Linked DNA regions of Tamandua tetradactyla. The protein of the gene in region 3 interacts with the protein of the main gene of each other region in a pairwise test. Links are inferred from orthologs where the notes say so. Each region holds a gene or a part of one and is shown on either strand. Other genes may lie near its edges.

Evidence for each region.
Region 1: the proteins of ATPAF2 (region 3) and PAK5 interact in binary tests that used the Homo sapiens proteins (3 or more experiments, as listed by UniProt). The two-hybrid records come from large-scale screens. The link is inferred for Tamandua tetradactyla from reciprocal best matches to the Homo sapiens genes ATPAF2 and PAK5.
Region 2: the proteins of ATPAF2 (region 3) and FSBP interact in binary tests that used the Homo sapiens proteins (3 or more experiments, as listed by UniProt). The two-hybrid records come from large-scale screens. The link is inferred for Tamandua tetradactyla from reciprocal best matches to the Homo sapiens genes ATPAF2 and FSBP.
Region 4: the proteins of ATPAF2 (region 3) and EWSR1 interact in binary tests that used the Homo sapiens proteins (3 or more experiments, as listed by UniProt). The two-hybrid records come from large-scale screens. The link is inferred for Tamandua tetradactyla from reciprocal best matches to the Homo sapiens genes ATPAF2 and EWSR1.

The regions. Positions count from the first base shown.
Region 1 is NC_135327.1:50,970,803-50,978,902, reverse strand, and holds the start of PAK5 (serine/threonine-protein kinase PAK 5), read right to left. Parts: upstream 3,201-8,100; 5' UTR 3,104-3,200; intron 1-3,103.
Region 2 is NC_135332.1:137,796,428-137,803,947, forward strand, and holds the start of FSBP (fibrinogen silencer-binding protein), read right to left. Parts: upstream 3,434-7,520; 5' UTR 1,787-3,433; coding exon 1,413-1,786; intron 1-1,412. UniProt on the Homo sapiens protein: Transcriptional repressor that down-regulates the expression of the fibrinogen gamma chain. Represses transcription of GSK3B gene promoter via its interaction with APBA1.
Region 3 is NC_135332.1:1,682,724-1,690,522, reverse strand, and holds the start of ATPAF2 (ATP synthase mitochondrial F1 complex assembly factor 2), read left to right. Parts: upstream 1-4,650; 5' UTR 4,651-4,821; coding exon 4,822-4,954; intron 4,955-7,799. Other genes in the region: GID4 (glucose-induced degradation protein 4 homolog), read right to left, coding at 3,929-4,117. UniProt on the Homo sapiens protein: Plays a role in the assembly of the F1 component of the mitochondrial ATP synthase (ATPase).
Region 4 is NC_135331.1:33,760,647-33,768,457, forward strand, and holds the start of EWSR1 (RNA-binding protein EWS), read right to left. Parts: upstream 3,301-7,811; 5' UTR 2,913-3,300; coding exon 2,900-2,912; exon of another isoform or gene 2,710-2,899; intron 1-2,709. Other genes in the region: RHBDD3 (rhomboid domain-containing protein 3), read left to right, coding at 5,482-5,629, 7,699-7,811. UniProt on the Homo sapiens protein: Binds to ssRNA containing the consensus sequence 5'-AGGUAA-3'. Might normally function as a transcriptional repressor. EWS-fusion-proteins (EFPS) may play a role in the tumorigenic process.

The DNA.
Region 1 (8,100 bases), on a different chromosome or scaffold from region 3:
GCATAATAAGGGCATTCATTTTTTTAAGAGCAATATTATCTATACAGTAGTAAAATTTTAATACTAGAAAGAGACTTGGAGCAGTAATGGGCAGGTGCGAACCTGAGTAAAATTGAGCAGCCGTGTGACCTTGGGCCTGTCAATGATGCTTTCTAAGCTCAGTTTTCTTTTCTGCAAAATGCAGGTACCAGCTTTGCTCCTTTCATAGAGTGTCTGTGAATATTAAAGAAAAGTAATTGGGGGCAGAAAAGATGTGCCAAAAGCAAAGGGGTTAGGCCTGGCCAGGGTCTTTACACAATGCTTTTGAATGACTATGTAGAAGGGAAGTTATCAAATTTCTGTGCACCAAAATCATCTATTAAGGTTTACAATGTACAGTTTCTATTTGGAATGATGGAAAAGTTGTGGTAATGGATGGTGGTGATGGCAGCCCAACATTATGGATGTAATTAACAGCAATGCATTATATATTTGAATATGGTTAAAAGGGGGAAATTTTAGGTTGTCTGTATATTACTAGAATAAAAATTTTTTAAAAAATCATTAGGGAAGCTCATTTAAAATAAAAGTGCCTGGCTTTCCTCCATGGCTACCAATTTGGAGTGAAAACCAGATTTCTGAAGGCCCCTGAATAGTTCTAAAGCACCACCTAGATCCCCCTACAGTGAAGGACTCACTTATCCCGGGGTGTGTGGTCAGTAGGCAGCCTTCAGTCATGGGATCATCTCAGTGGAAGAAAATGGCCTTGTCCAATGCCACAGCCTTTCCTGGGTAGCCCCGAAGCAATGGCCAATGATTAAAGATTTTGTTGGTCAACTTTGGGTCAGCTCTGAAGGCCACCCCAGATCTCCCTGGAGCATTGGCCAAGATGCCACGGGGCCTGCATCCCTCTCGATTTCTCCCTCTGCTGCTTCTGTTTTCTTCTCCTCCTGTCCCAGGGCATTGTGTCCAAAGGATACTGCTTAATAAACTCCCCAAACACTGACCTCTGTCCCAAAATCTGATTCCTAGGGAACTAATTTGCTGTTTGAGAATGTGAATCTGAAATCCAGGTCCACTTATGTTCTCCCTCACCCTAAAAACTTTCTCAGGTCCTCATTGTCCCCAAAGTCCTTCACATGGAAGTTAAGGACCTTCATGGTTTAGTGCAAATCTTTCTTTACTGTCTCATTTCTCCACATCCTCTTCATAATCCTCAAGCCAACAAGGCCAACCTTTTTTCTGTTAAACTTTGGCATTTCCATGCAGGAAGCCTTCGTGTAAGTGTTCCTCCACCATTAGCTTCCCCTACCTTTTTCCTGTTGAAATCCTATTGGTTCACAAAGATACCATTCAGATACTGCCGGAGTCTTCCTTAGCTCCTCAGGCTCACTCTGGCCTCATTTCCTTGCTTGGAGTTGTCTCGATGTTTGCATGCCCTGCTCTTAATCCTGTGTTTTCCAACATTCCATTTCTCTATGTCACTTAACCTAGTGCCCCAGCCATGGGAGATAAACAAAGCATTTGTTGGATTAGCCAATGGTAACAAAGCAGTGAATTTCTAAAATGCAAAATTGGACCTTTAGGACAGCGCCATAGACCATCTCATTGAAGGAAGCTATTGCCCCCTTCACTGCACAGATAAGAAAGCTGAAGGAACTTGCTCAAGATTACATAATTAATTAATAGTAAAAGACAAACTTAACTCAAATCTATTGAGTTTTTATTGCACATGTATTTTAAAAGTCTTTTTTTCCTATCAGGGCTCTTATTATTATTTCAAATTAGCTTATTAATTTATTTATTTGCTTACTAATTATCCGCCTTCTTCCCTCTGGGAGATAAGTCCTGGGGTACAACACCTGGGCCTATTCCAGTCGCTGTTGGTCCCTGACACAGACAGCACCAGCAGCCCCTCGGTCTTCAAGGGGAGACCCCAAGGCCAGGCCCCCATTGCAGCTGTGTCCAACCTGCACCACTCAAGGGACCCCTTGGGGCTTGGGTCTGGCCTTCAAGTACCTCCAAATGGAAGCTTCTGGAAGAAGGTACAGCCCTCCTGCCCGCGAGCTCACTGGGTCTACAAAGATGCCCCCCACCAAGGCCTTTGCCCCCTGTGAGGCCCCAGAGGACAAAGAGGCGGGTGGGCGGCGAGAGGCCGAATGGAACTGTCTGCTCATTCTGGCCTCCTGGGCCACTGTGGCCACCGCCCAGGGACGGTCCGGCGACCCGCCACCTGGAGCCCAGACCCCAGAGCCACATCCTCGGAACGACCCGCTGGGAGGACCCAGGCCTTTGGGTTCACGTTTTAAATTAAAAATATCGTACAAAGAAATCGAAAACCTATTTTGAACCACTTTTAACATAGATTATGCAATTGATTAAATTCCCTTAAAAACTTGGATCTGAATTACATATTTGATATGCCTGATTATTTTGATCACTTCAGACACTTCAAGAATGGCCAAAAGGACCACAATTTTCCTCATAATTACTGCCACACATTCAGAAGTATTCTGAAACTGAGTATAGGAGATTTAATTCACTCTAACTCTCTTTACACTTACTTTAATAATTCTTAGATTTAGAGTTTTTCCTGTTTTTGATAGTCCCCAATGTTTCCTAGTATTATTATTACTTTTTTTTTCCAAAGAGAGAAAGAGTTTATTGCTAAGCGTATAGTAGGAGAGCAGATGGCCTAGTGGCCCAAAGTCTGTCTCCCAGAACCACAGTAATTGTGATAACTTTATTAGAGAAAAATTGGGCAGGGTTTAGGATAAGGAACACAGTGGCCCCAGATGATGTAATTAGCGGTGATCTGATTATTGAGCATATGTTGATTCCTGCTTAGTCAAACAATGAATGTAAGAAAATGGCAGAATGAGGTATAGGTGACTTGTAGCTTAAAGTCTAAGCTACTGTGCATGTCAGGTGAGCCCATTTTGGTTTGATGGCTAATATTGTGTTGATAACCTCCCAGGGTTTCAGTAACCTTACAAGAACCTGCAAAAAGGTATTTATCTTCTCAAAATAGCCCTAATTGATGAAGATGGGCTGCTACATAAATCACTAAAAAAATATAATGTTTGGAGTATAATATGCACACGTAAGTACAAACTAAACGTACCCATATAATCAGTCCTCAGAAGAAGAAAGAGCATTGCCAAGTGAGCAGAAAGAGTTAGCACAGCAGGTCTGGTTCACCCAGTTCCCCTTTAAGTGTGTTACCATGGTGATGACCCTTGGTCAACTCTGAGAACTAAAAGACTCTAATGTTCACATAATGACTAGGTAATCATATTAGTCCATATCCCTAAGCACTGGGTCAAGACGGACTGTGTTTGTCATGTAAAGTAAACACCAGGATTCACGATGTGCATTGGGGGATTGCTTTGGGGTTCACACCATGGCTGGCCATGTACCAGATAAGTTCTTCCATTTAAGAGCTTTGGAACTCAAGACTCATTCTGACTTTCCTGGGCACAAACATCTGGCATAAGTCCCTGAAATTCATATCCAGAGAAGACGCTCCCTGAGATACCTGCTGAAAGAAGCAAAAAAGCTTGTTGGACTGTTTGAATGGCCATAGCCCAAATACCCCTAAAGAGAGGGCTAGAAAAATCAAAGGTGATGGTGTAGTTATACAGAGAAGATAGGATGTAGCAAATGAATAGGAATGCTGAATCATTAAACTGATATCTCTTTTAGTCTCCAGCATCTTAGAGCAGCTGGAAGTAAAAACCTAAAATTGTGGAATTGCAACCCATGCCAAATTCTGAAATCTGGCCTACAATTAATTGTGGTGCTGTGCTTTGAAATTTATTGCTTTTTTATATATATGTGATTTTTCACAAAAAAAAGAAAGAAAAAAGTAGATTGTGATGATTAAAAAATTGTTATTCCTTCGAGCCTCCCATATTCTGGAGCAGCTAGAAGGAAAAATCTGAGAGGATCATATGGTAGCCCATGACAAACTCTGGGGTCTGTCCTGTAACTATTTGTTGAAGAATGCTTTGAAAACCATTGCTTTTTCCTTTCTTTGCTTTGTGTATATGTTATATTGTGCAATTTTAAAAAGTTTGAAAAAAAGAATTAATTGTAAAAAAAAATTTTAAAAGCCGATTGGACTTCTAATGACTTTGCTGGTGCATAACTTTTTCCTGCTGGTCCTGTGCTGTATCCTATGCTGTCATAAATCTTAAGTGTGAATATAACTTCATGTTGAGGGAAGGACCTCAACCATGTCAGTTCTTCTAGCTAATTATTGAACTAGTGGGTGGTCATGGGACCGCTGAGACAACCAACATCTCAGAAGACCCCTCTTACCTCCTAAAAATCACTACCTCTTCCCAATAATAGCTACTATCTGCACTTTTTTTTTTTTTTTTTTGGAGTTTGCCCTGCACGTTTTTGGAATTATTTGAGCCTAGTGACCTCTGTTTACCCTTTTTTTAAAAATTTTTTTTATTGCATAATATAACATACATACAAAGCAAAGAAATAAAAAAGCAATAGTTTTCAAAGCACTCTTCAAAAAGTGGTTACAGGACAGATCCCAGAGTTTGTTGTGGGCTACCATATTTTTCCTTCTAGCTGCTCCGGAATATAGGAGGCATATATTCTTTTTTATCATCACAATTGACTTTTTTTCCTTCTTTTTTTGTGAATAATAACATATATACAAAAAAGCTATATATTTCTAAGCACAGCACCACAATTAGTTGTAGAACATGTTTCAGACTTTTAACATGGGTTACAATTTCACAATTTTAGGTTTTTACTTCTAGCTGCTCTAAAATACTGGAGACTAAAAGAGATATCAGTTTAATGATTCAGCATTCCTATTCATTTGTTAAGTCACTTTTGATCTTTCCATACCTCGCATTGGGGTTGTTCAGGCTATGGCAATTGTAAAATTTTTATATAGGAAGGGTCTGCCACTAATGTGAGATAGAGAGATGGAAGTATCTGATGTTCTGGAGAGGCTGGGCTAGTTTGCAGAACTTGTCTGGACCAGGGACTCATCTGGAGAGTGTAGATTTCTGGCAAGTTACTCTAGTGCCTGAAACCCTTGTGGAATCTTATAAGTTGCCCTAGGTATTCTTTAGAATTGGCTGGAGTGGACCTGGTTGGGGGTTGGCAGGTTATAATAGGTAGCAAAGTTTACCTGAAGCTTGCATAAGAGCCACCTCCAGAGTAGCCTCTCAGCTCTGTTTGAACTCTCTCTGCCACTGATACTTTATTAATTACACTTCTTTTCACCCTTTTGGTCAGGAAGTAATTGTTGATCCCACAGTGCCAGGTCTGCGAGTCCTCTCCCACACTGCCAGGGAGACTTTTACCCCTGGATGTCATTTCCCATGTAGCATGGAGGCCAATGATTTCACTTTCAGAGTTAGGCTTAGAGAGACTGAGGCCACATCTGAGCAACAGAGGTCCTCCAGAAGTAACTCTTAGGCATGCCTACTCTAATCGTCTAGGCTACCTACATAAGCTTCACAAGAGTAAGTCTCAGGATCGAGGGCATGGCTTATTGATTTGGGTGTCCCTGAAGTTTGACACAGTATCAGGGATTCCCTGATGGTAAGGCTTAATAGTTCCAGAGTCTTTCTCCCCTCCCTCAGGGGACCTTGCCAATACTTTTTGATTATCTGGTTAATATACTCTAGGATGTTTCCAGGCATTAATAATCTATACAGGATTAAAGGGCCTCTTTCTCATTCTGTGCTCTCTGTGTTTCAGTTGTTCAAATGAGCTATACAGATAGGTTGAATTAGATTATGCACTACAGAAAATTTCAGTTCCAGACCAAATAAACCTTTCTTCCATTGCTCTGAAAGAGTATGTGTGGTTCTAAAACATAGACATTGTCTTCCTTACCCCTATGCTCTGAATTACTTTAACCCTAACCTGCTTGACTTTGTTCTTATCTCTAAATATCAGGTTATATATATATCTATTTATATATATATGTCAAAGTCCAGAAATAATAATCACCACTCTGGACCTAATGTGTCTGCTCTAAAAGCTTAAAATCTAGGCTCCTGTTTTCTTATAAGCATTTTCTAAAGGTGACCATAACATTGTTGTTTTTTTGCTTCTGGCTTATTTTGTCTCACCAAATACCCTACATGTTCATTCACACCATTGCATGCTTCACGACAATGTTCCTTTTTGTAGCAGCACAGCATTGTTCATAAGTATACACCATCATTTGCCATTCTACTTCTCCATCACTGCATCCTACAGCCACCAGCATTCATCGGGCCTAACGTCCACAGTCCATCAACATTCTCAATTTTAGATAATTTCATTGCTCCGAAGAGACAGAAAACCAATAAACATACTCTGACCAAATAGGAGATCTAAACTTCCTCTTAACTCTTGTCCCTCACCCCATTATTTACCTCTGCTGTTGCTGTGGTAATGCTGATGGTCTCCTTTTGAACATAGCTCACAGCATGCAATAGCTGTTTTCCCCCTGTACCCTGGACTTAAACACTCTTTATACAAGAATCAAATCTTTGAAGTAATTCTTACAAGAACTCATTCATATTTCAAGTGTGAGTCAGTGAGATACATAGGTCTATACAATCCCTTTCAATCTTGTTCATCTTCAATATGGTAAAATTACTTCTAGACCCACTAGAGAATCACCTTCACTCCTATCTATTCCCTTGCATTGGAGTTCAACCTCATTAGCTAATGGTTCATCCATCTCTAGCTTCTAAGCATCTCCAAGTCCCCTGTATTCTATATTATAAGTCTCTGATTATACCTTCATACTGGGCATAAAAGTGGAATCATACAGTATCTGTCCTTTTTTCTGTCTGGCTAATTTCACTCAGCATTATGTCCTCAAGGCTCATCTATCTTGTCATGTGCTTCAGGACGTCATTTTGTCTTTCTGCTGCATAATATTCCATCATATGTATATACCACATTTTGTTGATCCACTCATCTGTTGATGGGCATTTGGTTTGTTTCCGTCTTTTGGCAATTGTGAATAATGCTGCTATGAACATCGGTGTGCAAATGTCTGTTTGTGTCATTGCTTTCAGCTCTTCTGGGTATATACCAGGTAGTGCTATTGCTGGGTCATAGGGCAGCTCCACATTCAGTTTCCTAAGGAACCTCCAAACAGTCTTCCATAGTGGCTGCACCATTGTATCTTCCCACCAGCAGTGCATAAGTGTCCAAGTTTCTCCACATTCTCTCCAACATTTATAGTTTCCTGATGGCTTAATAACAGCCAATCTTATAGGTGTGAGGTAGTATCTCATTGTAGTCTTGATCTGCATTTTCCTTATAGCCAGTGAAAATGAGCATCTCTTCATGTGATTTTGAACCATCTGTATTTGCTCTTCATAAAAATGCCTATTCATATCTTTAGCCTATTTTATAATTGGATTGTTTGTTCTTTTGTTGTTGAGTTGTATGATCTCTTCGTATATACAGGAAATCAAACCTTTGTCTGATATGTGATTTCCAAATATTTTCTCCCATTGAGTTGGCCTCTTCACCTTTTTGACAAAGTTTTCTGAGGTGCAGAAGCATTTGATTTTGAGGAGATCCCATTTATCTATTTTTTCTTTTGTTGCTTGTGCTTTGGGTATAAAGTTTAGGAAGCTACCTCCCAATAGTAAGTCTTGAAGATGTTTCCCTACATATTCTTCTAGAAGCCTTATGGTGCTAGTTCTTATATTTAGGTGTTTTATCTACTTTGAGTTAATTTTTGTATAAGATGTAAGATACGGGTCCTCTTTCATTCTTTTGACTAGTGAGATCCAGTTCTTCCATGCCCATTTATTGAAAAGCCTTTTTTGTTCCAGTTCAAAGAATTTGGGGGCCTTGTCAAAAATCAGTTGACCATAGATTTGGTGATCTATTTATGCCCTCTCAATTTGTTTCCATCGGTCAATGCTTCTGTCTTTGTGGCAGCACGATGCTGTTTTGACCACTGTGGCTTTATAAAAGATTTTAAAGTCTGGGGGTGTTAATCCTCCCATTTAGTTCTTATTTTTTAGGATGCTTTTGGCTATTCAGGGTCTCTTTCCCTTCCAGATGAATTTGGTAATTAGATTTTCTAAATCTTCAAAGTAGATTGTTGGAATTTTGCTGGTA
Region 2 (7,520 bases), about 140 Mb from region 3:
TACAAGGGAGAATAATTTTGAATAAGTAGCAAAGGATAAAAACAATTTTACTGCGGAGTTTTTTTGACATCTAGCATATTAGGATTTAATCATTTCTCATCAGTCTAACCCCCTTGAATTAATCCACTATATATCCATGTCCTGGATTCCCACTGGTGATATGTTTTACCGTGCTATCAACTAGACATGACCAGTATATGGCAAGAAGCTAGGCTCAAAAACATTTTCCTAGAAAATTACAAAATAACACATAATGTTTGGCTACGAAACAGTTCTTTTCTTCCTGTTCCCCTCCCAACTTCAAAGGGATTTCACAGGTAATCAATAATTGTGCTCCACAATAACTTTTTTTTCTACCAATAGGAAAGCACATTGTAAAGCTTTGTTTGAAAGATCCCTCAACTTGCAAGGTTACAATGAGCTTAAATTAATCTAAATGGTTCAGAGTATAAGAACTATAGCTGCCAGTTTTATCTTTTGCCAGGAGTTAAAATATGAATTAATGGCAAGACAAAAATTTTGAGGATTCCTAGGCAAATAGGTTTACAGAGTACTAATTTAACCCAAAAACTGACTATTTTTAACACTCAAAATACCCAGTTGTTCTTATGAGTATGTTAAGATTAATAGTTTGAAAAAATATTAGTAGTTTGATATCCTTGCAAAGCAATATATGAAAGATTACCTTTTTTGTATGACCCATGTTCAAAGTGAAACTAGACCATTAATGAACACTAAGAACAACAACAAAAACAAAAAAAAAAACCCTTAATTTTATTAAGTAATTTGAATCCCTAATTAGGCATATACTTCCTGTCCTTGGGTCCATCTTATAATTAAAAATATGTTAGAAAAATAATTTAAACTCTTTTAATATACAATCATGCCATTATAAAGTTTACTTAATTACTGATTTTAGATCTATTTATAGTTCAATGTAAATATATTCAATAATCGCAGTGGAAATTCACAAAAAAAGGTTAAGATTATAAAAGCAAAAGTTCCCTCTCTCCTTAAACTTTTTATAAATTATATATAAAATTGAAAATCCCAATGAAATATAGTTTTTAATGATATAATTCTCTTAGAAGAAATTTAAATCATTTAATTTTAAAGCTTAAAAAGTTTATAAAATGATGTTACAAATTTCATCTCATTTATTCTCTACTTCACCTTTAGAAACTACAGAAGGAAGGGTGAAGAGAGGGAAAGACAACAAAAAGTAGCTCAAATAAAATGCAACAGAAAAATTCCTTATAGCCTCACTTTCCTCTTTTAAGAATGCAAAACAAAGACTCTATTCATTGCTCCCCTAGTGGGGATGCTTACAATGCATATCTATCACAACTAAGCCAAACCCCAATAGATAGGAGGCGCCATAATTTTCCACAACAACGTAAAATAAAGCTTACCTTTGTATGTGGTTCCTGTCTCTTACCAGGCAAAAACTGGAAATCTGGGGAATCATCTCCATAACTTTCTTGGTTGGCTCAGAAATATTGCTTTTAAAATCTGACTGGGTCTCTTTTTGCTGCAATATCTCCTGTTTGGCATATTCTTTGAGCCTTTTGTAAAGGGTGCGTAGGCCCTGCGCTGTACGAGGAGGGCGATCTACTCCAATTGCATTATAGTTAACCGCTATGATATCCCAACATCTATTCTTTTCCACTATTACTGAATGTTTATTAGTATGTTCTTCGAGAATTTTAACATATGGTTTCACAAGCTTTAGCAAATCAAGCTTTTCAGATAAGGTAAAATTCGAAGATCTAGCTTTTCCTACCATCGTTCTTTTCAAATTAAGTAGGCAGTTTCTAAAACCACCATGCAGCTTTCAGCTCTGCTCAGCTCTTTTCACAAACAGAAAAAGATCAGGCTTAACTAGGCTAGCCTCATTTAGGCCCACGCCTACAGGGGAGGGTTTATTAAAATTCCTCCAGCTTAAGCTGACGCAGGTTCAGGAAATCTGCTTAAGCCAAGCCTGACCTACATAAAGCTTCTCACTGAAGACAGGAAGGCACAAGCAAAACACACTTGTGTATAAAGAGAACAGCTCGAGATAGGATTTAATACACAAAGGTCTAGAGATAAGCATGGAACACAGCTAAAAATTAGCTAATTTAGTGAGTATCTGATTTCTGTACATGTATGCCTAGCTGATAGACTGAAACTGCATCGCAGAACCATTTTAATAAAAACAAAAGAAGAATGTTTTGTGCCATTTGTTTACAAATTCAGTACACAGAAAAATGAAAAACTAAAGATGTGAGTGGCAAATGTAGTGATTCCACAGAGCCCCTAATCACTGTTTCTGAGCGGCAGTTCTCTCATACAAAATTTGCATAATGCTGGTCCTGCTGTCAATCAGGAATTGCATATCCTCTAGCTAGTTAGGTTACACCCACACTCAGAATTCACAGTAAAGCTAAGCTTCTCCTTCATTTTACAGTCTACATGAGCCCCTACATATTTTTTTCAGCTTTTAACAAGAAATTTTGGGAAAAAACCAAAATCTAAAAAACAGATAAAAATGGATATTTTTAAAGCAATGGATTATTCCATGTGAATATGCTCGTCTGCTTTACCATTTGTAAAAAATCACCATTCATGGTGAGAAACAACGTAATCACGCGGTAAGACCGCACACACCAAATTCTCATTTGCTATTAAAATGGAGTAGGACTTTTTATTTAGCTCTACTCACACAATTTGAGCTATGAAAGGAAAGAGTTAGGCTAGATGCTTGCAAGGGTACCATTTTACATACTTAGAATATATTTTCTAATCCCAGTCTGAAAACATGATAAACAACAATGTAAACAAAATGAACCTATTTTCTCATGTTTCTGCAGATATGGGGAATGAATTAAAACAGACTTTAACATATTCCATCCAGTCACATACTAAATACCTAATAAAAATGTCCCTAACCACCATTCAAAGCACTATGAAAACAATGTGAGATACAGCCCCTATTCAGGGGATTGTAACTCTACAGAAATTTTCAATTATCCTGTTTTTCATTCTCTCAACAGAAGAGAAGCAAATTAAATTTACTGAGCTCTCACTATAAACCAGACAATGGCTAGAAACTTTAAGTGTGTTAACTAACTGACAGGAAAAAAAAGTAAAAGACTGCTGAATATCTTAAGAAATGCCAGGCGTTGTTTAGTGTACCCTACTGGGTAATCTGATTCTACAATGGTGGTAGCCTTTCATTGTTTTAGAGCAGTTTTACAGCTCCATAAATTGTAGAAAACTAATAGTAGTGCCAATAATTTCTCTCCCTACAGGTGCAAATTGCAAATGACCTGCCCCAACAACAACTTGACCACAGGTACTAAAAGTCATTTTAACTTTTTCTGAGCTTTTTAAAAAAAGAAAACAAAGGTAAGTAAGAACACTGTCAGGGTATATACTTCCTAAAAATAATATTTTGTTATTTTCAAAAGATATACAGATATTATGTTAAAAAATGAAGTGATGAAAATATCAAAAAAATGTTCAATCTCCACTTATCAGGAAAATGTATACTAAAAAAGATTTTCATCCAAAGGACTGGCAAAATGCTGGAAGACTGAAAATGTCAAGAATGGATGATGATGTAGGGGAAAGTACTGTTCTGTACTGATAACAGGAGTTTCACTGTGATTACTGAATCATTATATAGATTTTATTTTTTACTTTCTAGTATATTGTAGATTAGCCACAAGTTAATACTTTATATTACTGAAACTTGTTCAACTAGTCTGAGCCCTTGTTTATACTTGTTATTGTAATGTTATCTTCCCTTCTTTGAATCCATAAAAACCCTAAACTCCTTAGACTAGGGGAGACAGATTTTTAGGCCATTAGGCTATCTGGTCTGCTTCCCACTTAGCAATAAACTTTCTCTTTGAAACCCCAGTACCTCAGGAATTCCTCATTTGAGTGTATCAGCTGAGGACTCCCTGCTTTTGTTTAGTAATATGTCTATTAATATTTTACATACATAAAATTTTCAAAATTTTCCTTCTTAGAATCTGTAACTGAGAAATTAGGATTTCAGGGATGATTCTGATTACTGAGTCATATTCCTTTTTGCTTTCTGGAATACTGGGGTAAAAACAAGGGAATATCTGAAAACCCTAAACTATAATTTAGCTGCCTGATAACTGAAATGAGTGTAAAAGCCCTCATATCTTGTGCCTTTGTGACTGTAAGAGCTGTTAGGCCCTTTATCGGGTCATTCTCTTGTAGAGCAAAGGCCCTAATGCTAATGAAGTCAGCCATTAACTACTTCCTTCCTTTTGGCTTACACCTTGAGTACTGAAGTGACAGCTCTACCTCCCCTCCTGTCAGTTTATGTTCTCCTATTGAAATGATAATGATAGCACAGTCCCCTTTTCTGTTTTGGACAAGGTATTTGAAATGACCTCATCTTCCCTTGCTAAAATCCTCAAAAACCTTGAACTCCCTAAACACAGGGAGACAGATTTTGAGCCCTAAAGCCATATGCTCTCCTACTATGTGCTATAATAAACTCTGTATTTGAAACCCTGATGTTTCAGGAATTGGTTATTGAGCGCATCCGGGAGAACAATCCACGGTTTCTGTTCGGTAACAATTCTACCTTAGAATATACTCAAATGAGCATTTTATGCACTTGCATGGTAATAAAAGTAACTTCAAAGGCCATCATCTGCAGACTATGCACTGCTCTACTCCAGGCAGCACTACAATGAAAGAACCCAGTTTTCCATGAACTAACATAAAACAAGCTCCAAGTTTGTTTCATCCGGTAAGTGGAAAGAGCAAGTAAAATAACAATAAATACAGTGTAGGTCATTATGCTTACAAAATATATGAAAAGTTATATATTTCTGAGGGTGGAGAGTGTGTATCTGTAGGTGCAGACTACAGATGCATACATACATGTGAAAATGTTTCCTAAAAAAAGTCTAGAGTTCCATTATCCAATATATAGTAGCTGCTACTCAAATATGGATATTGAGTATGTACTATGTGCGTGCTAAAATTATTGTGCTTAATATTCCGAAGCAGACCCTATGAAAAGTACCATAAATGGAGTTGTTGAACTCATTCAGAATATGTGTGCAAATGCGATGACTCACTGACAGTTTATGGATGTTGAAAGAAATAGAGAACTGATTTATGATTTCATCGTTCTTCATCAATTCATACTGGCTAAGTCATGAAAAAGTTTTATACAAGATTACTGTACTGTTAACTTCAGTTCAGGACTTTTTTAAAACAAAAGGAATGCCTGCCAAATATTCAATAATCAAAGACAAAAAATGGCAGTGCAATTTATGTTTTATCATCAATATCACACTGCACATGGATGAGCTAAATCTAAAGCCTCAAGAAAAGGAAAGGTTTATTTGTGACCTAGTTAGACAGGTAAGAGAATTTTGATTTTAAATGAAAATCTTTACAATAATACAAATCAATAAATGCTGATACATTTTTCTAACGTGAATCAAATTGCAGAAAATGTTTTTTTAATTTTTATTAATAAAACCAATCAACATACAATATGAACATTTCTTTTTACCACACAGTTCTATATTCATCATCATGATCATTTCTTAGAACATTTGCATCAGTTCAGAAAAAGAAATAAAAAGAAAACAGAAAAAAATTCCTACATACCATACCCTTACCCCTCCCTTCTATTGATCACTAGTTTTTCAATCTACTAAATTTATTTTAACATTTGTTTCCCCTGTTATTTATTTATTTTTAATCCATATGTTTTACTCATCTGTCTATAAGGTAGATAAAACAAGCATGAAACACAAGGTTTTCACAATCACACAGTCAACTGCGAAAGCTATATCATTATACAATCATCTTCAAGAAACATAGCTACTGGGACCCCGCTCTACATTTTCAGGCAGTTCCCTACAGCCTCTGTTACGCCTTAACTAAAAAGGTGGTATCTATGTAATGTGTAAAAATAATCTCCAGGAAAACCTCTCGACTCTTTTTGGAACCTCTCATAGCCATTGACACTTTATTTTGTCTCATTTCGCTCTTCCCCCTTTTGGTCTAAAAGGTTTTCTCAATCCCTTGATGCTGAGTTTCAGCTCATTCTAGGATTTCTGTCCCATGTAGCCAGGAAGGTCCACACCCCTGGGAGTCAGGTCCCAGGTAGAGAAGGGGAGGGCAGTGAGTTTGCTTGTGGTGTTGGCTGAAGAGAGAGGCCACATCTGAGCAACAAAATAGGTTCTTTTGGGAATGACGTTAGGCCTAATTTTAAGTAGGCTTGACTTGTCCTTTGTGGGGTTAAATTTCATATGAACAAACCCCAAGACTGGGGTGTCTCAGCCTACTGCTTTGGTTGTCCCCACTGCTTGTGAGAATATCAAGAATTCTCCACTTGGGGAAGCTGAATTTTCCCCCTTTCTCACCTTACCCCAAGGGGACTTAAGCTGCAGAAAATTTTAATTTTAACTGGTAGTGTCAAGTAAATTGCCTGCAAAAACTACAAGAAAAGTTTAAGAATGCCTTGTTGATATATATTTATTAATTTATGCAATATTACTTTAAAATGTAATGTTATTAATATTGAGTTGACACAGAGATAGTAAACTGGCTTGGGCAGACATATTTTTTTAAAAATCTTTCTTGTGATAGTATAGTAAGCAGGCCCCTTGCAGAAGGTGGGCCTGTCACCACTCCTTACACATTTAAACTACCTCCTCTTTAAAAATCGTCCAAATTCCTCTGAGCAGTCAGAACTACACATAAACAGGGCACCTGTGCTGAGCATGGGTAAAATTGCACATAGGCAAGATAAGACAAATTCCTGTAAAGAAACCCCTCCCTGGATGTGGAGAAAGATGCATGCTTATCCACTGTTGGTGGGAATGTCAAATGGTACAAGCACTGTGAAAGGAAGTTTGGGAGGTCCTCAGGAACCTAAGTATAGAATTGCCATACGACCCAGCAATACCATTCATTGGACATGAGGGCAAGGACATAAACGGACATATGCACACCAATGTTTATACCAGCATTATTTACAATTGTGAAGAGATGGAAAAAGCCAAAATGTCCGTCAACAGAGGAGTGGCTAAACAAGCTGTGGTAGATACATACGATGAAATATTATGCAGCTGCAAGACAATAAAATTATGAAGTATGTAACAACATGGATGGAACTTAAGGACATTATGCTGAGTGAGATTAGCCAGAAACAAAAGGACAAATATTGTATGGTCTCACTGATATGAACTGATATTAATGAATAAACTTGGAGAATTTCATTGGAAACAGAGACCATTAGGAGATAGAAACAGGGTAAGATATAGGGTAACTGGAGAATTTCACTGGAAACAGAGACCCTTAGGAGATAGAAATAGGGTAAGATATAGGGTAATTGGAGCTGAACAGATACAGACTGTACAACAGGACTGATCATAAAAACTCAGAAACGTATAGCACAATACTACCTAACTGTAATACAATTATGTTAGAACACTGAATAAAGCTCAATGTGAGAATGATAGAGG
Region 3 (7,799 bases):
CTGAGAACTTGTTTCCAGAAAGCTAACAAAGTTTTATGGCATTTATCAGATTTGGGATCCAACTACTTTCAATTATACCATAAATCAAATCCTTAGGCGCCCCCCCCCCCCTTTACCAACCCTGGTGAATTTAGCCAGATGACATTAGCACTGAAGCAAACCAGCTTCAATGGAGCTCAAGTGCCCCCCCAGTTTGGTGCTGGTGAAGGCGTTCCATGTGCCAAACAGTAAGCGTCCTCCTACGCTGACCTGGGCACTGGATGTCACCTGAAGCAGCTGATCTACACCAAGAACTCTATCCAAGGACGTTCAGGCAAGAACTCTATTCAAGGACGCACAGCTCCAACCCGGGGCCCTCAATTTCACGTACGCACTCCTCACTGAACTCAACCTAGTTTGGGGTTTCACGGCAGCTGGAAGGGCATCAGGTAACAAGGAGGCTTGATAATACGACAAAAAACTGAACTGTAAAGAGGCTAACATTTTGCATGGATTATCACATGCTCAAGAATCAGAATTTCAGTTTGGCCTCGATTCAACCACGCATTTCTCCCTCTCTGTCCAAAGTGACCTCGGCAATGGCCGGTAAAGTCAGACATGCCACATGCAAAGACAGGATGGCATCTCAACGGGAAAGAGAACAAGGTGAATGTTGAGCAAGCAGGTCTCGCTGCACAGCTGTGGTCAACAGCTGCTCTTTTTAATATTCCTTTCCCAGTGACCTGGGGCTACATCTACTCTCGGCTTTTTGGAAGAGCAGGAAGAGTCACAGCAATTAAAAAAAAAGACCCCCAGTTGGAAGCTCTCAAAGGTTAAGGAACTCCAACTGGAATCTCAAAAGAGAAAGTACGCCAACAAGCACTTGAAAGGACATTCGGCATGAGCATCAGGGAAATGCAGATCAAAACCACCACGAGACCTGCACCTCACATGCCTTAGGACAGCTCTAAGCAAAAAGGGAGATGATAATAAGTCGTGGCGACGACGTGGAGCAGCTGGAACCCTCGTGCACTGCAGGTGGGAATGGGAAACAGTGCAGCTACTGGGGAAAACGGCCTGGTAAGTCCTCAAGATGGTAAGCAGAGTTACCACTCGATCCAACAATTCCAAGGGAAATGAAACACATGGCCACCCAAAAGCTTCCAGACGAATGTTCACAGCAGCATGGTTTGTAATGAGCAACCCAAATGACCATTTCTGATGAAGAGACAAATACTGAGGTCCAGCCATACAACAGCTATCATTTGGCCAAGGAATCAAATACTGATGCTAAGTGAAAGAAGCCAGTCATAAAAGACCACATATTGTATAATTCTGCTTTTAAAAAATGTCCTGAATAGGCGAATCTAAAATACAAAAAGTAGATTAGTGGTAGCTGGAGTTGGGGGGTGAAAGCTAAGGGGCATAAGGCTTCCTTCAGGATGATGAAAATGTGCTAAAATTAGATTGCAGTGATGGCTGCACAACTCGGTGAAAATACTTAAAACCACTGAATTGTACACTTCAAATGGATGGATTGTATGGTATGTGGATTCTATCTCAATAAAGCTGTGAAAAGGAAGAAAAGAAGGAAGAAAGGAAGGGAAAGAAAGTGGCTGCCTTACAAAAGGCAGAAGTAGTCTAAGAAGGCTGAGTCGAAGAAACTAGTCCTGGCTGAAAAACCAGATGATGGAGCAATTCCCGTGCCGCTGATGAGTCCCTGGGGTGACCAAGCAGCCGCTGAAGCCGGATGGAGGGCGGCATTCCTTGGCATGACTGTCTCTCCGCCCCCATCAGCCACCCCACTCATGCGGCTTCTAGCACTTGGCCAGGCTTTTCCTCTGGGCTGTCCTGAGACCTATCAGCAGTGCAGAAGTTTCTCCAAACATCAGATTCTACAAACTCAGCAGCTCAGTCACACCTTCAACTTGGCTCAAGGGAAACTTGGCACTTGACGTGAGTTCAGGAATATTATACATTAACGACAGACGAGAGCAGTTCCTGCAGGCTGCCGGGCAGACCCTCCTCTGACACTTAGCTACCTACCCCACTGGTTGTCCCTACAGCACTGGAAACCATCCAATTAAAAAAGCACACAAATTCAAGCTCATCCCAAATGTGGTCCAAACAGGGATCTCACTTCCAGGATTTCATGTTTAGCTGCAAAAAGATAAAGCCCTCACCTTCACACTACATTTCACATATCAAGCGAAAGCAAAGGGGAATCACTGCATTAGACATATCATTTTGAAGAACTGAACTACCTCAGCCCAGTAGTTTCTCAATTACAATGAGATCACAGCTCACGTTAGAGCCTGGAGTTTACAGACCAAGATAGAATTAACATGAGGATGCAGTCCTCCTGGTCCAAAAAAAAGAGAAGAAAGTTACTTATTTCCATGGAACAGTGTGAAATGGAAAGTGATAAAAGAGCTACAGTTAGCAGGAAGAAAAACGTCCCCCCACTGACTTTGCTGGGAGACCTGTCTGTTCAGAAGAGAAGCGGTTTAGGATTTAAAATAAAAGAAGACTGAGGAGGGCTGCAAGGAGGGGACACGTCCTCTATTCTCTCCCTGCACACAGAAGCTGTCAGGCTTCACACGTGGACTATGAAACTCTCTGTAGGATTTCCAGGGAGGACCACTGTTTGGAGAGGCTTTGGGGGAACAGCCTAGGAGGTGGGGCGTCTGGCTAAGGAAAAAGGGGCAGAGGGAGGGAGAAAAGTGGGTTTCAAGGTAGGCAGGAGCAGGCATGGAGGAAAAATGGTTTTGTGGGGAGGAAAGATAAAAAGGGGTATTCACACCACCAACCTCCTTGGGCTGGGGAAAAATGTCATGTGTGCTACCGCTTGTGTGGGAGGGGAGAGGTGCTGGACGGGCCAGGGCAGGTGGCATTGTAGCCCCAAAGCCTGGTCCGGCCTGGCAGCAGGTACTCGAGATCCAGGTCAGGTAGGGGGAGGTGGATGGACACAGAAAGGAAATATCCATGTGAGACACAGAACTGGGTGAGTTGGATTTCCCAGCCCGCGGGTATCAGAGACTAGGAGGAAGCCCTGTGCCGGTGCAGATAAAAGTTAAGAACACAGAAAAGAGGGCTCCCTGGAGCAAGGAATGAGGAAGATGAAGGTATGGGGTGGGGAGGTCTGGGGGGAGAGCCCTGGGACACTGGAAGTAGCCAGAGCAGGGGGGGCAGGGAGTGGGCGAACCCTAGGACAGGAGGCCTGGGGGTGGGGGCAGCTGCGAGGAGCCGGGTGCTGGGAGCATGCAGAGGCTGGAACTGTGGGTGGTACCGCGGGGGACGCAAGAGGCAAGATGCTAACAGGCTGTGAGGAGCCCCACTGGGCGGCTCCCAGGGTGCGAGGGGCTGGTCTTGAGGGGAGGGGGGCACGGTCTGGGGACTCAGCTGTGGGTGGGGACTCCTGGGAGCTAACGGAATGAAGGGACTCCCAGGTAGGAGGGCTGACCACACTTTTTCGAGGGGGGGCTGCCCTGATCTTGGGGGATCCCTGGGACTGAGAAGGGGGGCCTGTTTCAAGTCTGGGAGAATCTGGCATGGGCCTAGCCTGTGGGGGGACCCCCGAGAGGGATGGGCAGGGGCTACTCCAGAGGAGACAAGTCAAGAAGAAGGAGCGGCCAGGCCGGAGTGGGGCAGTCATGGGGGGGCTCCGGATCCCGTGGGGGTCGGGTGCCGGGGAGCCAGGTCCGGCGGAAGGCTCAGGGAGTGCCGGGAGCCGGTCGCGGAAGCCCCGGGCCCGCGGGGACAGGTCGGGCCGCGGCTCGCGGAGTTTGAGGCGCCAGCGGGGCCGGTCCCGGGTGAGCTGCGGCGGGTGCAGCAGGCCCCGGCGGCCCGGCCTGGTCGGCGGCCGCGGGCTCGAGGCCCCGGGGCCCGGCTCCGGCCCGTGAACGCCGCGAGGAGGCCCTCGGGCCCGGCCAGCCGGCCCGGCGCTCACCTGCAGCACCACCTCCACGTCGTACGAGTTCCCCTTGCTCTTCTGGTGGCCGCGGAACTTGGAGCCGCTGTAGAGCAGGCTGGTGGCCACGCCAGGCTGCTGCGTGTTGATGGGCGGCGGCGGGATAAGCGAGGCCGCCGAGGCGGCCGCGGCACCGGCCGGCGGGGGGCACTCGGTGCGGACCGGCATCGCGGGGTCCCCGGGAGCCAGGGCTGGGGGGAGGGGAGAGGAACGGCCGCCGCCGCGCGGGAGCCGAGGAGCGCGGCGGGGAGGGCGGGGCGGGGCGCGCACGCGCGCGGCGGGGGCGGGTGGGGAGGGGTCACCCGCCCACTGCCTGCGGACCAACGCTCCGGCAGCCCCGGGACCCCGGGATCTGCGAGCTGGGCCTCCCCGTCCGGCGCTGGATCCCCTCCTCACTTGCCCTCGCACACACACACACATACACACAGACACACACACACACACACACACACACACACACACACACTCTCACTCACTCACACCAGTCCTTCCGATTGGTGCGGGCGCGCCGGGGGGCAGGAACAGGCTCAGCCGGCGCTCCCGCCCATTGGCGGGCGGAGGAAACACGTGGCAGGGTGCGCGAGCGGCCCTCTGGGACTTGTAGTCTTCCTGCCGAGGCGCGGCGTGGTGGGGCGGGGCCAGGCGCGTTTGTGATGCTGATTGACGGGGGGCGTGCGCCGGAGGCGCGCGGGAGCGTCGGCGCGCCGTTGGCGTCACGCGGAAGGTGACGGCGTCCCGGGGACGCTGAGGAATCCGTGGAGGCTGCGAGGGGAGTTCTCGTACGGCCCGACGGCGCGATTCGGGGATTCCTTCGCTCGGTGTTTCCTGCTCTCCGGCTTCGCGCCGCGCGTCGCCCCAGGCCCTCGGGAGCCATGTGGCGGAGCTGCCTCCGGCTGCGGGGCTGGGGGCGCCGCCTCCTGAGCGGGCCCCCGCGTGGCCTCGCGGCCTCCCTGGGGTCGGGGCCAAACCATTTGCCTCCGGCCCGGGCCTACGCGCCCCCGACAGGTGAGGCCAGGGTCCGTTCCGTTTTGGCCAGGGCCCGAGCCGGGCTAAGGTGGGCTGAGGAGTTCAGCCATGCAGGGTGGGTACCCAGGTAGGGTCCTGTGCAGACCCGGAAAGCGAAGCCCAGACTAGGGCAGAGCGGGCCGGAGGGCGCCCGGGTGTGTCAGCCCTAGACGGTCATTGCCGCTCGGCCCGGGCGTTTTTTCTCAAAGCTCACGGCTTTCGTCTCCTTAGCAGCGCAAGCTGGTGTGATCCCAGGTTTCGGACGGAGAGATTCGGGTTCTGAATCGGGACTTCACCAGGGTCACGCTGCAGACTTAGAGAGGTCGTGGAGGGCAAAGGTTGGCCTGCCTGGCCCCCCCCCCCCACACACACACACATACCGACACTTTCCCCCTCCGCCCTTGATGAGTGAGGCCTTGAAGAACGGTTTGGCCCTTTCCCTCCTGCTGGGGAGAGGTTTTTGGGTGGGAGGATCTCATTTTAGTGAATAAAGAGTAGTGACACTCTCCTTCCCTTCCCTTAGTTGCTTTATGCCGGAGGTAGGGTGTGCAGTGGTTTCAAGACAGGTGTGGTCCACCTTGAGAATGTTCATTGTCAAGTGCAGAAGATTATACTGTTCTGATTAAATAGGAAGTTATAATACAAAGAAGCTGCGACAACACAGAGACGCCCTGATTCCCATGTTGGGGGTGCTCAGGATCTAGAAAGAGTCGTGAGTAATAGGGCATTAAAGTTGGGCCTTGATGGATGAGTAGGAGTTGGGTGAAGAGGAGGAGGAAGAGTGTTAGGTAGCTAGAACACGTCCAGAGGTGACAGTGAGCCTGGTGTGAGGGACCTTGCTGTCACAACCTGCTCTCAGAAATCCAAACCACCCCAGGCAGTTTGAGGCACTGTGGCAGGAATGTAAGTCTGGTTCTAATGCTGGAGTGCTGTGTGATCTTGGGCATGTGACTGCTCTCTTTGGGGCTCATCTTCCTCTTTAAGTTAAAGGACTTAGTTTTCTCTGGACCCTTTTGGCTCCTAGGTAAAAGAATTTTATCCAAATGGGGGAGGGGATTGGATGTAGCAGGGAGTGGAGGCTTCATCCATGTATCTCATGGGCCTGGAGTGGCCCATGAGAAGCAGTAAACAGGAAGGAGGAAGGGCATCCCAGAGAGGCACAGCATGAGCAAAGGGGACACAAGCCGGAGTTTCTCAAGTTGACAAAAGCCGGGAGTTCGTGTTGGTTAGTAACTGCTCACGTTCCATCACGGTGGCAACTGATCTGCTCTCTCCTTTTCCTTTCCGCTGCAGACACAGTCGTGGAGGCTTTTGGCAGTACCTGGCGCATGGGAGGTGGTCATATGTGGAAAAAAAATTGAATGAATGAATGAGGTAGTGTGGGAGAGGGGTGCCTAGTATCAGGCCGCTGCATGCTCTGCAAAGACCTTACCGGATGGGAGAGTCTCTGCTTCTCGATGAAGGCTTCGACTGGCAAGGAGATTGAGCTTGGCCCCTGAGGACTGGGCTTGTCGCTGGAGGTTTTCCAAAGGAGAGGGGGCATTTTGGCAAGAGCCATTGAGATGTTGGAGAGGAGACCTACTTGAGGATGCTTGTGGCCTGGCAAATACCCTTGACTGCTTGGGTGGGAGGCGTTCAGGAGTGCTGAGTGCAGACGCGGTGCAGTCCAGGCTGTTTTTCACCACTTACGGCCTGGCTGTCACCTGAACAAGTCATTTAGCTGTGTCTTGGGCCTCAGAGGCAAGACCTGTTCCTGCCTTTCTCGTAGAGTGGTTGTGTGGATTGAGGGACATCCTGGAGATAAGGGGTTCAGCCCTGCAGCCTGTTTTTTTTCAATGAAGTTTTATTGAAACATAACCACCCTCATTTGTTTAGATGGTCTGTAGCCGCTTTCACCACCACAGTGGAGTTGAGTAGTTGCAGCAGATGGGATAGCCTGAAACGCCTGAAATATTTACTGTCTGGCTGTTTACAGAAACAAGTTTGCCAATCCCAGCGGTAGATGCAAGAACCATTTGGAAAATAGAGTGTGTTTAGTCATTTAGCCCATTTACATTAATTGCTGCACAAATACATGTGGCCTGAAGAATTTTTTTCTAACAGCTTTATTGTGATATAATTGATGGACCATGTAATATCCCCATTGAAAGTAGACAATTTAGTGGGTTTTAGTGTATTCACAGAATTATGCAGCCATCACCATAATTTTCGAATGTTTTCATCAACCCCCCACCCAAGAAACCCTGTATCCTTTGGATGTTGTCCCAAATCCCCCCTTTCTCCAGCCCTAGATAACTGCCAACCCTTTTTCTTTCCCTATGGATTTGCCTATTCATGACATTTCATATAAATAGAATCATACAGTATGTGTCCTTTTATAACTGATTTATTTCACTTAGCGTAAGTTTCAGCTTTTCACTTAGCATAATGTTTTCGAGGTCCATCCATGTAGCACATACTCCTTACTTTTTATGGCTAAATAATTATCTTTTGTATGTATAAACCAGATGGACACATGGATTGTTTACAACTTTTGGCTATTGTGACTAAGTCGTCTATGCACATTTGTGTATATGCTTTTGTGAGAACATGTTACAGGTATACATTTCTCTCAGGTAATATATACCTATAACCAAGATTTAAGAGTTAACAAATGACTGTGGTTACTGAATCGTTATATAGATGCTTTCTTATTTTCTAATATATTGTAGAACATCCAAAAATAAATACTGTAACTACTGAAACTCCCTGAACTGTAACCCAGGTGCCTTGATCTTTGATGGTGATACTTTGTTGTATAACTAAATAATCTTTACCTTATAACTAAAGCCTCATGATAACGCAT
Region 4 (7,811 bases), on a different chromosome or scaffold from region 3:
AGATGGTTCTGCCAAAAGGACAGGACAAAAGGGTCTTCTCTCTTCCAATCAGGAAGTAGTCCACCATCCAAACGCGACAGTTTATAGTTCAGCTTTTTATGGTGTGGTTCTACCCCATTCCATCCAAAGTTGGCCTCAGAGCCCTCTATCTTGGCCTGGGTGTATTTTACAGAATCCATCTCATTCAGTTGGTTTATCTTTCTCCATCTCACAAACTTCACCTGACACTTTCTTTCCTCCACCGCCCCCCCCAGGATGCTGAATCATCAACATTAACAAATCAACTGCCCAAAGGCTACCTATATTGAACAAATTGATTTAAGATAGCCTTAAGGCATTTTCATCAGCACTACAATTCATGACGTTTATGTGACATATAAAAGTAAACCGAACCATTTCTTCCATGTGGCATTCACAAAATAAACACACCAATAAAGCATGTGAAAACATATATTTCAGCCAACATTTTGTTGAGGTTTCTGAATGAGAAATGATTCTAAATCGCTGGCATGTAAATTCTGTTTGCAATAGGACTTTTACACAAGAATAGTTATGTAAAACATAAAATTGGCAAAGATGATATGGAACTGAAGATGTGACTGGCATGAAACTAGAAGATTTCACCCTACCCTAGTGGGCTCACCAATTCCTAAGGGAGATGGCAAGTTTGTTTCATGAGAATTACATACAGCATGGATATTATATGGCCTCAAATATGCTTCAATTATACCCCGGTCAAATTATTTAGTGACCAATTGTGTTCTCTTTTTAATTCCCAAATGTGCAGCTGAAGACTTCACTAGAAATACTGGACTGGTTGGGAGGAGGAAAGAGGCTGGAATTCAGGGGGTCCTCTAGGGTACTGGCAATATTCTGTTTCTCCACCTAGGTGGTGGTTACTTGGGGAGTCTGCGTTGTAATTCTTTGTGTTCCAATGGACATAGGCTTTAGGTGCTTTTCTATATATGATATATACAAGAGGGAAAACATGCATTATTACCCAAGACAGCAGCTTTACGGCAGTCACTGTCTAAACTGTGCAGATTTAAATATTCAACTACATAATGCATTAGAGTCAGTATGGGGCAACTTTGTGGAAACCAAAATGCTTTGCTGTAAGGTCAGAAGTTAAGGACTCAAAAAGTCCCTAAAAGATCTAGCCTCGTTCACTCATTTTTACAAGAAAGAAAATTAAGGTCCAGAAAAGTTACATGACTCCCCAAAGCCTCACACCACCACCACTTCCCATCCCTGTCCTAATACTATTGTGTCTGCATAAAGCACAATTGTAATTGTAGTTTAAAAAAATCAGTCAACAACAATCAATGGAAGTTGAGTAAAACTGACCGAAAAACATGTCCAGCCATGCTGAAGGTACACATCTGCACCCCTCTCCCCAGGATTCAGCAGGGCAGGGACAGTAACATTCAACCATTGCCCATCCCAAACTTGGACAGCCAGCATTTACCCGTTTTACTAATCACACAGTACGGTAAAATGAGAAATATATCTTTAGGTTGCTAGATTACGGACCCTTTTCTGAAGAAAACTCTGAACGACCCAGAGGTTATCCTGTCTTCCCCTCTCATCTCCTCTGTTTCTAAGGCCAGGAATCAGGAGGCCTAAGAATATCTCCAGAGGCAAAACTGCTGGACCTAGCAGATAACCGCCAGCTAGGGAATGGACAGTTTGCAAAACGGCAGGTGCTTAAGTACACTTTTTAAAAATTCTCCATGCACCAAGGACCACCTCACACATCACATTCTGGAGTTCACAAGTCTGGCTTTCTTTCCATGTCTACCGAGAGCCTCTTTTCCCTCTTCTTTTAGCAGCCCACAAAATATATAAGCCTATCGGCCCGACGCAGGCTATTAAACGCGTGAAACGATTGCTTAAGCACAATTCAAATACTGGTGCCGACCTTTTGTTCCTCTTAGGTCGAAGAACCCAGAAATTTCTTTCCATAGAAATTCAGGCCTCGCAATCCAGACTGGCCTTATTATACAACAGATCTCCCTCGGCGTTTGCAATAAAAATGGACTCTAGGAATCACTTAATAGCTTTTGAGAAAAGGAGGAAGTGGAGTTTACAAATAATGAAAAAAAAAAAAAAACCCCAAAAAGCCCGAGAGGGCAGCCGATTGTGGGGTTCAAAAAGATGGAGCACATTCCGCCCAGCGCCCAGTGAAGCAGAAACTCAGCTTTGGGGCTGGAACGCGTGGAGGGAGCAGCTCGGTGGCTCCGGACTCCCCCAGCCGACCCGGCCTTAGGGATGACGGGGCTCCCGCTCATAGGCCGAGCGAAAGGCCGGCGCCCCCCGGCCCACAAATCCGCGACGCCTTTTTTGTTTGTTGTTTTTTTCCCCTAAGCTTCTCCTGGAGGTAGGGTCGCCCTCGGGCTCGAGCCACCTCTCAGGAAACGTGTGTTTGAGGGGGTAGGGTACACAGGCAGCGGGTCCACGGCTTTCCCACGCGCCAACCGGGCCGCCTCCACACGGACTTTTGCAGACGCCAACTCGAAGCCCAACCAAGCAACCACCTCCAGCCCCGCGCCCCACGCAGCGACCCAGAGGCCGCAGGCCCCGCCCACGTGGCGGGCTGCCCCGAGCGCAGGGCCGACGGCCGCCACACAATGGAGGCCTCGACGGGTCCCGCGCGCCCTCGTCACCGCGCGCCGCCGCAAGCCCCCCGCGCGCGGGAGGCGCCGGAAGATTCTAGAACCGTCCCGCCCGGTGGGGGAGGGGGGGAAACACGGGTCTCCAAGCCCGTCCGGCTGTGGCGGGCAACTGAGACCCCTCTCGGCAACCCCACTCAGTCGCCCCGGCCACCTCCAGAGACGAGTGGCCCCTGGTTTGGGCGTCCCAGTCGACGCCGGCGCGACCGCGGTTCCACCTCACTCACCCGTGGACGCCATTTTCTCTGCTTCCTCCTCGTTCTCTCAACGTCCGTCTCCCTCTCGCCTTCCCTCTAGGCGCCGCACTGCGCAGGCGCGAAGCCCGCAACCTCGGACGCTACCATGGGACCAGGCCACGGGGGTGTGGGAGGACAAGGAGGAACCTCAGCTTTCTCGCCCTTACCGCCCGCAACTCTAGTCTTAGTACTCTCTAAAGAGCGCCGGATGTGACGTGCGGGCCAAAACAGCACTGAAGGAGCCGGAGCGGCCGTTGAACAGATCTCGGTATCAAACCGAGGTAACTCTCCGCACGAAGCTGGGTTGTTCGGAATGGTTACGTCCTCTGGCTCTAGGGACCGTCTGTGAAGAGTCTGGCCTGGAGGGAAACGGAGGGCGGCGGGAAAGCTGGGGGAAGGGATCCGGGCCTAGGACAACTGCTGACTAATCGGCGGGCGGCGTGCCGGCCAGGCGGTAGGGGTCACGCGCCAGGTGTGTGAGGAATGGGCTCGGGACTCCCGGGCCTTGGCGGTGGGGTAGAGTCCTGACTCCTAGGCGGGTGCCCCGCGCGGCCTCCCCGGGGTCGAGGGCGCGCTCTGTAGTGAGTACCCTGGACACGTGGTGCGGGCAGCGTGGTAGGGGGCCGGGGGCTCATAGGCTGGGTGGGAGGTCCGAACGCTAAGCCCGGCCCCGAGAGGCCCCCACTAACGGTCGAAGTTAAGAAGGTCCCTTCGTCATCCCCATCTAACGCCCTTGTTTTTACGGAAGGGGAAACTGAGGCCCAAGGAAGTTTGGTACTTGACCCAAAGTCACAAAGTCTGACCCATACCCTGGGACCTTTAACCTTCCCACTCTCCGGAAGAACTTTTCCGTCCTTGTCTTCCCATTCTGTCTTCCCGGCTTCCTATTAAGGTAGGCAGGGCTTGATCGTTGACAGTCCCATTATATAGATGAAGAATCTGGGCCCCAAAAAGTTCAAGTCCCAGCCATGCATGTTGACGTGCAAGGTGGCCTGGGAGGGAGTGATTGTGAAAAAGTAGTAGAAGGCTTGCAGATGGGCCTTGGACCCAGACCCAGCCTCAGGGCAAGGCTCGCACTTGCAAAAGACAGGTCTCACCCCAAATTCCTTAGTGGGACCCGGAGCCAATGCATCTTTCTTTTGGTGAGCACGTATGAAGTGCTGGGTGCACCCTGGGGAGCTTGGGATAAGTGAGAGGAGGCTCCTCCATGATCTCAGACTGCCTGCCTAGGAGGAGGACAGATAAGCCAAGCTGTGCTCATAAATTAGGATAAGATCCCCAGTGTGGGCCGGCGGAGGAGGCCAAGGGGACCTTTGAGCTAGACTTCAAAGGACGAATAGGAGTTTGCCAGTTGGAGAGACAGAGGGAAGCATATTGCAGATGGAGGAGCTTTCCATATTTTTCCTGCTGGAAACTGGCAGGTGGGTTTCACTGCCAAGGATGCTCTTGGCAAGAGAGCAGGTGAGGCAGCGTTTCTTGTCTCTCTAGGGTCTTACTTCCTGGGGGGCTTGAGGCAGGGTGGCCTAGCCAGCGGTGAGGGGCTTCCAGCAGGGCTGGAGGACAGGCCGCCAGGAGGAGGGAGGACAGGCTGCCAGGAGGAGGGAGGACAGGCCTTGTCTTGCGCACTAGTGGGCCAGAGCTCGGACCAGCCAGGCTGGAGGAGTTGTTTCTAAGCCCAGGCAGTGAGCCAGTTTGGCCACCCAGAGCTGGTGACTCCACCTGCCTTCCAGGATTAGCCACTAATGTTTATTGAGTGGGAGCTGTGGGCCTGGTCCTGCTTTAGCCCATTCCTTTTGCTCTTCACCCTAGGAGGAGAGAGGCTCAGATCTGGGGAAACTCAGAGAATGGAACCTTCCTTGGGAAAGAGTAGGCCAGGGCCAGAGGGGCTGTGCCGAAGGAAGCGATTTTTCTCAATCCCGTGACATTTTGTAGAGGTGCAGGGGGCAGGACTCCTGTTTCCCTGCCTCCAACTCTTTTGACTTTACTCTCCTTCCAATCTACTTGCCCACTGGCTGGCCCGCTTTGCAGACACTGCCTTGCAGGCTCCACCCCCTGGGTCTAGGGCTGCCAAATGGCAGGAGCTCTAAGGCTGGGCACAGTGGAGGGAGGAATGGGGGATGGTGGCTGCATGAACTGACTCCCACCCAGAGAGAAGAGGGAGGCATAGGAGGGCTGGAGATGGCCCTGAATTTTCCCTGAGGGGCTACACTCCTGTTTCTGGGAGCTCTGGGCTCCAATTTGACTTCCCTGGCTCTGTGCCTTTTACCCCTGACTCCTCTTCAGTGCCCATCAGAACTCAGGGCCCTTTTTCTCAACCACTGCCCATCCTCACACAGGGGCAGGCAGAATGGCAAGGTGGCTGGGCATATGAGTTAGGGTCTGAACTCTGCCATGGTCAGGTTGTGTGGCCTGCCTCTCCAGCCTCAGTTTCCACATCTCCAACATGGAGCTGTTGGCAGGGTCATTGAGAGTGAGTCAGTGAGATAAAGTCTATGATAATAACCACTGTTACTATTCTCCTTTATTCCCAGCATCCAGCCCCAGGACCTCCCTCGACCACCCTCAGCCAAGCCATGTATGCTAGAGGCACCTCTGGCCTGCCGACCCTGGTCATGCCCCTGGCCTCCTCAGCTCTGATGCTGCTGCTGAGTGGTCTGTGGCTGGTGGGGGCTGGCCCCAGCCTCGCCCTGGCTCCGGAGCTGCTGCTGGAACCCTGGCAGGGTGAGGGCCATCCACGAGGCCTTGGAGGAGGCAGGAGACTTGCTGGGGAGCCAAGACCAGTCACTTGCCATCTCTGGGCTTTGGTTTCCTCATCTGGAAACTAGGGATATCAGCAGCAGCTCCTCTTATATCAAGGACAGTTGGACAGAGCTGCCCAAGCAGTTCCCTGAATGACTATATAATACAAAACAATTAGAATCTGATGAGTACCTATCCATCCATCCAATCATTTAGTTAGCACATATTCATTGAGCATCTACCATGTACCATACACTGCTCAGTGCTGGGGATGCAATAGTGAACAAAGCAAGGTCCTTGTTTTCATGGCATTGACATTCTGGAAGGGGGAAACAGACATGAACAAGTGAATACATAGCTGGTGCTGAGAAGAAGGTGAAATGGTGTGGGGGGAGCTGTGAGTGATAGGGCTCTTATAGAAGGCCTTCATGACAGGGTGGCATTTTCCAGAGCCCTGCAGGGGGCAAGGCTAGCAGCCAGCCAGGCAGGAGGAACAGCAAGACAAAGACTCTGAGGTGGGAATACATCAGAGTGTTTGTGGGACTGCCAGGAGGACATGGGAATGGGGTTAATGGGAGGGGGGGGGGCAGGAGCGCATGTGGGGCCTTGAGGTCTGTGGTAGGACTTCAGCTCCAACTGGAGTGCATTGGAAGGATCCCCTGGCTGCTGTGAGCAACCAACTGAAGTGGGAACGGGTTGAAGCAAGAGCCCAGTGAGAGGGTGACGGCAAAGATCCTGATGCAAGATAATGGCCTGGCCCTGGAGGCAGGGGATGCTTTGGGGGTAGTAACTGAGGGTGAGAGAATACAGGGGCAGGAGGTTTGGTTGGGGCCTGAGCTGCTCGGAGGATGGAGTTAACCACTTACTGCAACAGGGAACCCAGTGTAGAGTTTGGCTTTTGGATATGTGAAGTCTGAAATGCTGATTTTACATTCAAGTGGGAGAGTGAGTTGGCTGTTGGACACGTGAGACTGGAGGTAGCAGATTCTGTGTCAGAGATAGAAATGTGGGAGTTATCAGCATATTGATGACATCTGAAGCCTAGACTGGAGAGGATGACCATGTTATATGTCTGTGAGTGTAGACACAAAGCTGCCCATCAGATCTGGCCATGTATAGCTCATTGCAAGAGTGGCTTCCCCAGAGTGGAGGGGACAGGCATGACTAGGAAAGGCAGTGGAGGCAGTGAAGGGTGATGACTTTTAGTAGTCTTGCTGTAAATAGGAGCAGAGATGGGGCAGTGGCTGGAGAGAAAGACCTGCAGTGTGCTTGACAGCTGACAGGAACAGCCCAGGACAGGAATATCAGTGCTGCAGAAGAGAGATGACTTTGGTAGGAGTGGGATGCACCCTGCAGTGGCCAAACAGGGATGGGGCCTAGGTCCCTGGGGAAAGTTGGCCTTGGATGGAAATGTGCCCAGCTCACCCCGGGCCAAGAGAGGGCAGAGGACTCAGGTGGAGGTCGAGCAGGGTGGGGTGGGAGCCAGTGGGTGGGAGTTCTTTTCTGACAGCTTCCCTTTTGCATTGAAATAAGAGGTAAGGCCTTCAGCTGAGCATGAGGAGGGGGAGGAGGTACTGGGGGTTCCAGGAGTGACCCCAGCTAAGCACCCGTTTTCCAGTAATAATAGCTCCAATTTACATTGGAGGAAACCAAATAATTTTTGGTTTCAAGGAGGTTAAGTGGCTTGTCTAAGGTCACCAGCTGGGAATTGGGGGGGCGGGTACAAGGACTGAAACAGGCAGGCAGTCTTACCAGCACCCCTGCTCCCAGGGTGTAGGATTCAGCAAATGTGTACTTAACGCCCCCCTCCCCAGTTCCTGGGATATAGCAAGAGCCCACCAGTGGCTGCTGGCGAGAAGCCACTAGAAGACTAGTGGGTCTGGACTTTTTATAACACAACAGGGGAGTTGTCCCAGTGTTTGGAAGCCCGTGGTCCCCTCCATGAAGGTTAAGTGGGTGGACTGGCTCCTGGGGAGGGGAAGCTGGCTCAGAAGTTAGCCCTAGCGGTAGGGCAGCCCCCAACTTGCACCTATGCCCCTCCTTTCTCCCAGCACACAGGCTGCTGACCCACGCCCTGGGCCACACAGCCCTGCCAGGCCTGCTCCTGAGCTTGCTGCTCCTGCCAGCACTGGGCTGGCAGCAGGAATGCCGCCTGGGCACCCTA